2 linked regions of the Drosophila melanogaster genome follow. The protein of the gene in region 2 interacts with the protein of the main gene of each other region in a pairwise test. Each region holds a gene or a part of one and is shown on either strand. Other genes may lie near its edges.

Evidence for each region.
Region 1: the proteins of CG8813 (region 2) and yellow-g interact in a two-hybrid assay, tested with the Drosophila melanogaster proteins (2 studies listed by BioGRID).

What each region holds. Positions count from the first base shown.
Region 1 is NT_037436.4:2,269,216-2,274,514, forward strand, and holds yellow-g (yellow-g), read right to left. Parts: upstream 3,555-5,299; 5' UTR 3,477-3,554; coding exon 3,036-3,476; intron 1,925-3,035; coding exon 1,728-1,924; intron 1,294-1,727; coding exon 750-1,293; 3' UTR 666-749; downstream 1-665. Other genes in the region: CG32302 (uncharacterized protein), read left to right, coding at 1-566.
Region 2 is NT_033779.5:2,867,814-2,871,193, reverse strand, and holds CG8813 (uncharacterized protein), read right to left. Parts: upstream 1,543-3,380; 5' UTR 1,449-1,542; coding exon 594-1,448; 3' UTR 545-593; downstream 1-544. Other genes in the region: Ifrd1 (Interferon-related developmental regulator 1), read left to right, coding at 1-190, 262-505, 1,644-1,871, 1,940-2,023.

The sequences.
Region 1 (5,299 bases), on a different chromosome or scaffold from region 2:
CGGGCTACTCCACACTCACGGGCACTTGTGTTCTGCCACGGGAGAGTGAGCAGTGCATCCAGGAGCAGTTCACCTGCAGTCGGTCGGGACAAGTGGGTGGATGGGCGCCCGACAATCGGTACTTCTACGTCTGCGTCAATGACACGGCCAATTCGCTGTATCCGCTGATGATGAAGTGCCACGAGGGATTCGTTTTCAACAGCTACAGCTGTGTGCCCGACACCAGGAGCATGAGGAGCATTCAGGCGATGGAGTCCCACACGTGCATGAACAACGATAGGTACCAATGCCCCTTCCGAACCTCTGAGATCGAGTACTGCAAGTGCGTCGATGGAGAACTGGAGGTGATGACCTGTCCCGCCGGCTTCCAAATTGATCCTAAGATCCTGACCTGCGTGACTGATAGGATCTATCAGTGCTCGGACTTTGAGATCCTCAGCTGTCCCAATGTCTCCACCAAGGATGAGTACTGCATATGCATCGATCACCAGCTGCAGATCTACAGCTGTCCAATGGGACAGTATTTCAATGCTGAGACTCGAAAGTGCCAATCAGAGTCAGAGTAATGAATTGTTTTCATGGTACCAATATTGATTCAAGTAAATGCCTATTTAAAAAATTGAAATCATTCTGAACATTTTAAGATAAACTACAAATAACTATAAATATTCACCAAAATTTTAATGAGACCCAGTAACGACAACAAATCAGTTTGAATCTTAAGCCTAAGAAAGTGGAGGGATACGGACTCAATCGTCACATTCCCGCACCACAGGATGCAGGACGATCGAGGCTCCGTTGCAGCCCGTGCGATCCGAGATGAAATCGTGGAAGTTGCTCTCCAGCGCCCACATGAATCGCTTGTGACCCGGGAGCACTTGGGTGGACAGCCGGCAGTCGCCTCCCCGCTGCACCTCCTGCAGATTGGCGGCCTTGAAGCAGGTCTCCGAGTCCCACAGGTAAATGTCGTTCTCGCCCTTGTAGCGGAAGAAGAGCGAGGTGCCGCCGTCGGCGCCCAGCAGCACCGCCTGTTTGCCATAGGGCTTGGGGCCCACGTCGATGATGGAGCCCGCTCCCTGGCCAACGCGCAGGTACTCGCCCTTGATGGAGTACAGACGGGGGGAGCTCAGGTAGCTGAAGAACAGGGTGGAGGTGCCGTCCGGCTTCGAGGTGAGCGCCACGTACAGCACATCGCTGGTGGGGGCGGTGGCCTTCGGCAGGACGATGCGGTAGGACTTGTTGCCGGTGATGTCGTATACCAGGATACTACGTGCTCCAGCATCGGCCACATAGCTATGGTTGAAAGTGAAGGAAATATAATGTGGAATGAGATTAGATATCATGTATGCAATACAAATCGATTTTATTTGGTATATGATGAGCCACACTTCTGAGAACTACCTTGAGCAGATAAGATATGAGCCTCAAAGTGGCTAATGCCCTTTTGATTGGCTCAATGATCGCTGATTGAAAGCATGATTGAAAGTGTGTGGTAAAAGTACTCCAAACTCTTGATTCAGTTCGATGATTTCAACGAATATTTTATGACTGCAATATGAATCTCTGAATATCATTGTGCTGATAAATAATGGTTAGTAATAATGGTTAATAATAATGTAATGTGTGGTATTAATTTCATAGTTGATGTATTTCAAAAAGTGATTAAGTACAACTCATTTCACAGATGAAGTTAAGGGTAATAAAAGAGTATAGGCAATGGAACTCACACGAATGGCTTGTTGTCCTTGGAGTAGTCGACCACGATGAACTGCAGCCGACTCTCGGAGGTGACCAGGTCGCTGAGGTCGATGCTCTTGACCACCTTGTGGTTGGCCGTGTTTATGGCCACGATCTTGGGACTGCATCTGCGGATGGGCTGCTCCAGGGTGTTGACAATGCCCACGTCCAAGGCCCACAGAAGTCCCTGCGAACGGAGAAGGCAATTATTAATTGCTATCAATTGCAGCTCGTGTTGATTGTTGTTAATGTTTTCATTTGGCGGCTAATTGAAATGTTGGCGGCGTTAAAAATTCCACATTCGCAAATATGTGGCCATAAAATGAGTATCAGCGAAAAGCACTGAATGGAAAATTGCGCAAATAAATAAATACAGTCGCCTCGTTTGTTTGCCGTTTGTTATTGTTTCGTCGACTTTTGTGTAAATAAAATAAAGAAATGATTTGCATAAATGCAGCTAAACGGGAATGGCATTTAAATGAGAACGATTCGACGCCAACAATAATTGAAGGAAATTATTAAGTTGCAGCTTATGCTCGCAATCGTAAGTAGGTCATGTAAATATTTAATAGCATCATTGTAATATCTGCGAATGCATCTGTCATTTAAAATTAAAGCTGAGAACTTCTGAAGTGCAATCGAAATGCACAAAACACGGCTGGATGGCCTGTTCCCAGCATTTCCAAAATTATTTTCGAGAACTTTTCACTGCATTTGCTTGTCACTTTTCAGCTGCAGTCCTTGTCCTTTATAATATTCCATTTACCCCACAGCTTTTTCGGCGTTTCCGTATCCGTTTATTCTACCCTTAAATTGCTGCCGCCAATTGACGGGCATGAATTTTATTTGGAGCTCTTCACTTTTGTGGCCCCGTTTATTTGATTAAAAAAGTAATATTTGGTCGACAGCGAGGCTAACCAATTAAAAAAGTGCGTCCGGCAAGGGGTTAATGCGAAAACGATACCCTGGAGCTAAACTCCCGATTTTGATCGACTTTGTAAGGGCTAGCAAATATTTAACACTGCGACTGCACATCAATATCAATATCAGAAGATAAACTAAATCATTTTTAGAAAAAAAAAGTGAATAGCCCTAAGAGCATTTCAATGCTACCCTGTAATCCACCCACGATACAAATATGAATTAAACATTTGGTGTGGGTTAAAGTGCTATGCCTCCATGGTGGCCAACAACGAGCAGTCCGTAATTAAAGGCAGAACTGGCAGTTTGGACGAGACAACTTGTCTGACCCCCAAAAAAAAAATGGTCCAAACAATACTGGCGTTAATTGCACTCACATTCTGATCGACGGCTATGTCCACGACGGACTGCAGCGCCTGGCAGTTGCCCTCCTCCTGAATGGCCCAGCAGGGATAGGGTGCGATCTTGGTCAGGCACTCGCCCTTCTTTAGATTGACCTTGCCGAGAGTGAAGGGCACGCCCTGCTTGTACCTGGGCAGCGCCACGAAGGCGGAGTCCCGCTGCAGTTGGGCCCGGGTCACGATCACGTTACGGGGCACATAGCGGCCGGACTGGACGTAGATGTTCTTGGTGGACTCGCAGGGCCAGTGGAGGCTGCTGCCGCTGAGCTGGAAGGTCAGTTCGTTCAGCGGGTTCTTGTCGCACTTGGTGCCGCCAATGGAGTTGGAGGCGTCCGTCGACTCGTCGGTGGAGGAGCTGTATCCCGCGAGGACCACGGAGGCCGAAGCGACGAGGAGCAGCAGTTGCAGCTGCGACATTTTTCGGCGTTTCTTTCTGCGCTTTCCACAAACAGAGCTTCTGCACTCGATTCACCACGTTGGCCAGAACATAAAACTGTCTGAGCGATGGTAGACCTGCATTTATATATAATACCCAACGACTTATGCAGCCAGCATGTGGAGCGTGTTGCGGCAAGGTCGTTGGTTGCTTGACACGGGGGGGAACAAGTGTCTGTCTGGAGTGGCTACCACCCAGCCAGCACGTCTGGCCCACGCCGGAAGTCGGCCAGACCTCTAAGCCCGCTCGGTTTCTAAGCAATGCGGAAAGCGATGCGGAAATGAAATGCAAACTTAACCCCTTCCCTCTATCTAGATTACACGATTCTTCCTAAGCCATCCAAATCAAATTTAACTCCCCTGGTTTTTACTTTAATTGTCTTGATAACAGTTTGTTCTATTATGGCAATCTATGCCTGTCTAATTAATCACTTCTACTCCTTTTATTGCTCTTATTTTCTGAGTATAACTTTGTGCTATTATAGCCATTTATAGGCAGCTAATTAGTCACTCAAGTCCGTTCAATAAAATGGGTTCAAGTTGCGAAATAGCTTCTGTCACTCATCGATCGCTCTTGTGCATCCGACAGAGTAGCAAGTTTCACCCCTTGGCAGGCAAAGTTCAGAGGTCGCTGCGAAACACTTGCCAAAGTGGCCCAAAAGTTCAATATCAATGCTGACGTCTGTGACCTGCATATCTGCGACCGAGAAAGTTTCAGTTTCTTGGCTCGAGTTACCAGCTATTTTCGGATGACAAAAACATCTGTCAGTCCGTCCGTCTGCAGCTAGCTATCAGTTTGCTTTTGGGGGAGGGGGCGGGCGAAAGGAGAAAGTTCGGGGAGTTGGTGGGGCACATTACTCGCAGATAAGATTGCAAGTTGCCGGAGATTCGTCGTGTGAATCACACCCACAGTTTCGCGGAACAGTCACTCTGTTCCAAATTGATTTCATTTCTATTTTAAGATAAATGCAAAGGCGAAATTTTATCGCATCAGGGAACTTTAAAAGGCGCTCTGAGTTCGCCATTTTCAAGTCGGGGGTATAGCTCAGGGGTAGAGCATTCGACTGCAGATCGAGAGGTCCCCGGTTCAAATCCGGGTGCCCCCTGGAACTACATTTTTTGCCATATTTTTTTTTGTTGGCTGCTCAAGTCTCTTTGTGGACTTTGGTGGACTTTTTTGCACGTTGATTGCGGGGGGATTAGAGGTGTATCCGCCCGACGTGGTCGATGACCCCGTTAACTCGTAGAAACCCACATATCGCCAAGCGGCGAATAAAAAATCTTTGACACATTCGGGCAAGCGGTGGAGGAGTCGGTGTCCAGCTGAAGAGTCTTTTGTTTGGGACAGCTCGTGCAGCGAATTATGGACAGCACTGGGCTTACATTAAATCACAAAATGTTTAATCTCCTTACAGCTGCCCATCATCAAATGACCATCGGCGGGTCAACATTTTGATAACCCATTCATCGGGGGTCAGACTGGCTGCTCCTTCCGCATGGCGGAATGGGAAGGGTCTGTCTATAATGCCAAATTACATGCAGATTGAATTTTTGTGAATTCCGATTCAATAAACTGCCATGGGTCCAAACCCCCCTTCCCACGATCGTAATCCCCCGATTTATGGCACACACATGCCCAAAAGCAGGCGGATGTGATAAGTGCTGTGATATGTGGGCGGGATTGTCAGTCGGGCCGAATCTGTGGATAAATATTTATGTGCTCCAACATAAATAAAAGCAAAGTATGCAAATGGAAATTTGACGATGCTAAGACTCTTTTACTCTGCAAAAACAGCTTACAGATA
Region 2 (3,380 bases):
ACCTGATGCAGAGCTTCGAGGCCATCTTCGCAGGCAGTTATTTGCGTGGCGATGACAAGACACCGGTATCCGTCACCGCCGAAGCTGGGACTTTCCATGCGGAGGCCTTGAACGCCTGGGGGCTTCTACTAACACTTATACCTTCGGGGGATTTTGTTTCGTTGATGACCACTGGCCAAAACATGTTTCCGTAAGTTTGAAGAGCAAGTTCCATTTAACTTTCAAACCCATTGCTATAATTGTTTAAACTAAACTTTGCAGATCTATTAAGAAGTTCTTGGGTCTCTTGCAATCTACACATTTGGACGTCCGCATGGCCGCTGGCGAGACCATTGCTTTAATTCTGGAGTCGGGACGTGCTCACGAAGAGGATTTCCTAGAAGATGACATCGCTGAGTTATCGGAGGCCGTCAAGCAGCTGGCCACGGATTCGCATAAGTACCGCGCCAAGCGCGATCGCAAGGCCCAGCGTGCCACCTTCCGTGATGTGCTGCGATACCTGGAGGTGAGTTGAAGATTTGCACGAGTGCTACGCTTAAACAATAGGGATTACATTTATTTATTTGACTCGAGATGCACTAGTCTTTGGACGATTACTTCATGTCAGTGCAAGTGAACTTGAGCTCGTGCTTGCAGTACTTGGCCAAGCACTTGGAGTGATCGTGCAACTTGTTGCGCATGATGACGCAGCCGTTCCGGCTTATCGAGTCCATGTACTCGCTGAAGGTCGGCACCTTCCGGTATGTGGTCGGGGCGGAGTTCCAGTGCGAACTGCTGCCGGATTCGATGGTCTGCGAGGAGTCCGAGAAGCTGGTCTTGAATGGCTTGTAGTTCTTTTGGCACTCGTCGCTAGACATCTCGTAGCCAGCGGACGCCTCCCGCTCCAGTTCGTTCATCACGTTCGAGCGGAACTCGTTGCAGGGTCCACGTTCGCTCATCAGCTTGTTGGCGTTCTTGGACTCGTCCTCCGTCTTTAGGCTCTCATAAATACCCTCCGGGTACTCGTTCATGTTACAGTAATCGATCTGATAGGTGGTGTTCATACGGTTGGTCTCCAGCCTGCGGCTCAGCTCCTCCTTGGGCATGACCTTCAGGCGTTCATACAGATCCGGGTAGACTGTACGTAAGATCTTGAGAAAGCGGTTGGGTTGCAGCTTAAAGCAATCTGTTTCCGCGGAGAAGGCCATCTTGTCCACCTGGTCCTGAGTCAGCTGGGTGGGTATGATACGCGGATCCACCAGCTTTCCCATTGGCGCTATGCCCGTCCACTCGACGCCGCCACAGTCCTTAGACGCGTTCGGCGGCATCATGATCTTGGACTCGTCGACGCATTCGCACTCCTTGACCTGCGGACCACTGTGAGCCTCGGCGCCCCTGGGCCGCGTTAGAAACTCGTACCGTTTGGCACTGGGCGGGACATAGTCGTGCTGATAGGTTGATAGCATCATCTTGATAACGAAATCTACAAAACTAATTGGCCAAAACAATTTTTTTTAGTAGTTTTTTTTTTTTTAACGAGAAATTTGGTCTGTTTGATCTGATAGAGAAACTAATAGTGATACATTTCAAAATCGTACGAAATGAGATTAGAATATTTGCTCGTAGCCTAGCCTGATTTTAAAGTTTTTTTTATCTCGTTGCAGGAGGACATTTCCCCAGAGATTAGCATTCGTTTCGGTACCGAGTCGCTGACACTAGATTCCTGGTCCATCCATCATCAGTATTCGGCCATGTGCACTGTCATGGGTCCCGGGATGACCTCGCAGCTGCAGGAGAACGAGTTCATCCGTGACATCTTCCAGCTGGGACCACGACCCACGAACACAGGCATCAATGGAAACGCCAAGGTCAAGCCGACCAAGCTGGAGCGGGTAAGTTGATTGAAATGTGTTAACATTCGCTTCAAATTTTAATATATTTATATTTGTTGCTTTTGCAGCACCTTGTGAATGCTGCTGCATTCAAGGCACGCTCCATAACACGTGGAAAGAATCGTGACAAGCGATCGGCCGTCGTCACTTAAACCTGTGCTTCACCCACCAACCGTTCCCATCCACAGACACCCAAACCAACCATCTCAAACCCCGTTAGCCAACTCTGGACTTACTAGTTGAATTGTTTCTAATTTTAGCTTGAACCAGGCAAAGCGTCGCCAAAGCTGAAGAACTAAGTCTAAATTTAGGATAATTCAGTGTAATCTACAAAATTTCTCTAGTTTATTAACCACATGTTGGAGCCATTGTTTGAATATTATGAAATATTTATTGCGTGCACGCACAGTGGTTGTTTATCAGTAAGTGCATGGCTGGCTCCAGCTTGGATCTTATTCTTTGTGAATTTAAATTAACACTGCGATTGTTACGACTGGCATTTACGCTTTGCGATTTGGGTTAACCTCTTTTGTTGTTGATCTTTTTAAATTACAAGCGTAGGAAAACATAGTCTGCTTTAATGCTGCGAAAAAGTTATTCATAACTTGACATGGCTTTTAATACGCATAATAAGCGGCTCTATGAATACATATATTTTGTAGTAAATAAGTGTAAAATAAAGTTTAGGCTTAAACGAAAACTACTTGAAATGCATTCTTACTGGTGGGGATACAACAATGGACTCCTTTTTAGAAAACACTTAAAAAACAGTTTGCGTTTTATAAATTGTATTTTATTTGTTAGTTTTATCACAAAAATTGTATGGTAACTTAAATTGTATGTTGGATTCTTTCCTTTTGTGGATTTTGTTTTGTTTTTCTTTGCTTTGACAAATTTTGTGTAGTAACTACAATAAAATTTATATATATATATTATATATGTTCGTGTGTATGTATATATGGGCGCAGCTTATACAAATCAGTTTCTTAAGGAGTAAACTTAAAGGTTAATAAGAAACGTATTTCCATCAAGTACAAATTAAAAACTTGTTTGCTTAATTTAATATTCGCCAAGTACTCGTGTTTTGCTTGCTTCTTGTTTGCATCCATGGATGAAACCGATAATGAAATGAAGGAAATCAAAATGCTTTCATAATTTAGGTGTAAATAAAAGAAAACTATAAACTATAAATCAGCATGGGGACTGACTCACTGGCGCATCTAAGCACTATCTTCTCGCTTATTCGCTCTTCAGGCTACTTGGCAACGCGTTCGTAATCATAATCTCAGGATGTTCTCGTTTCTGTTTCCGTTTCCGTTTCGCTTTCGCAATTGATACTGACCTACACTTATTCTACGTAATATTTGGCTTCTTGTAATACACTTTGCTTCTGGAAATCTGCATGATAATTTGAGAGACGAAATTCACTCGTTAATCGAAACGCTTTTCGCTACTCTTCTTGTCTACTCGCTAGAGATTTAAACCTATGTACACGGTTGAGGATAGAAA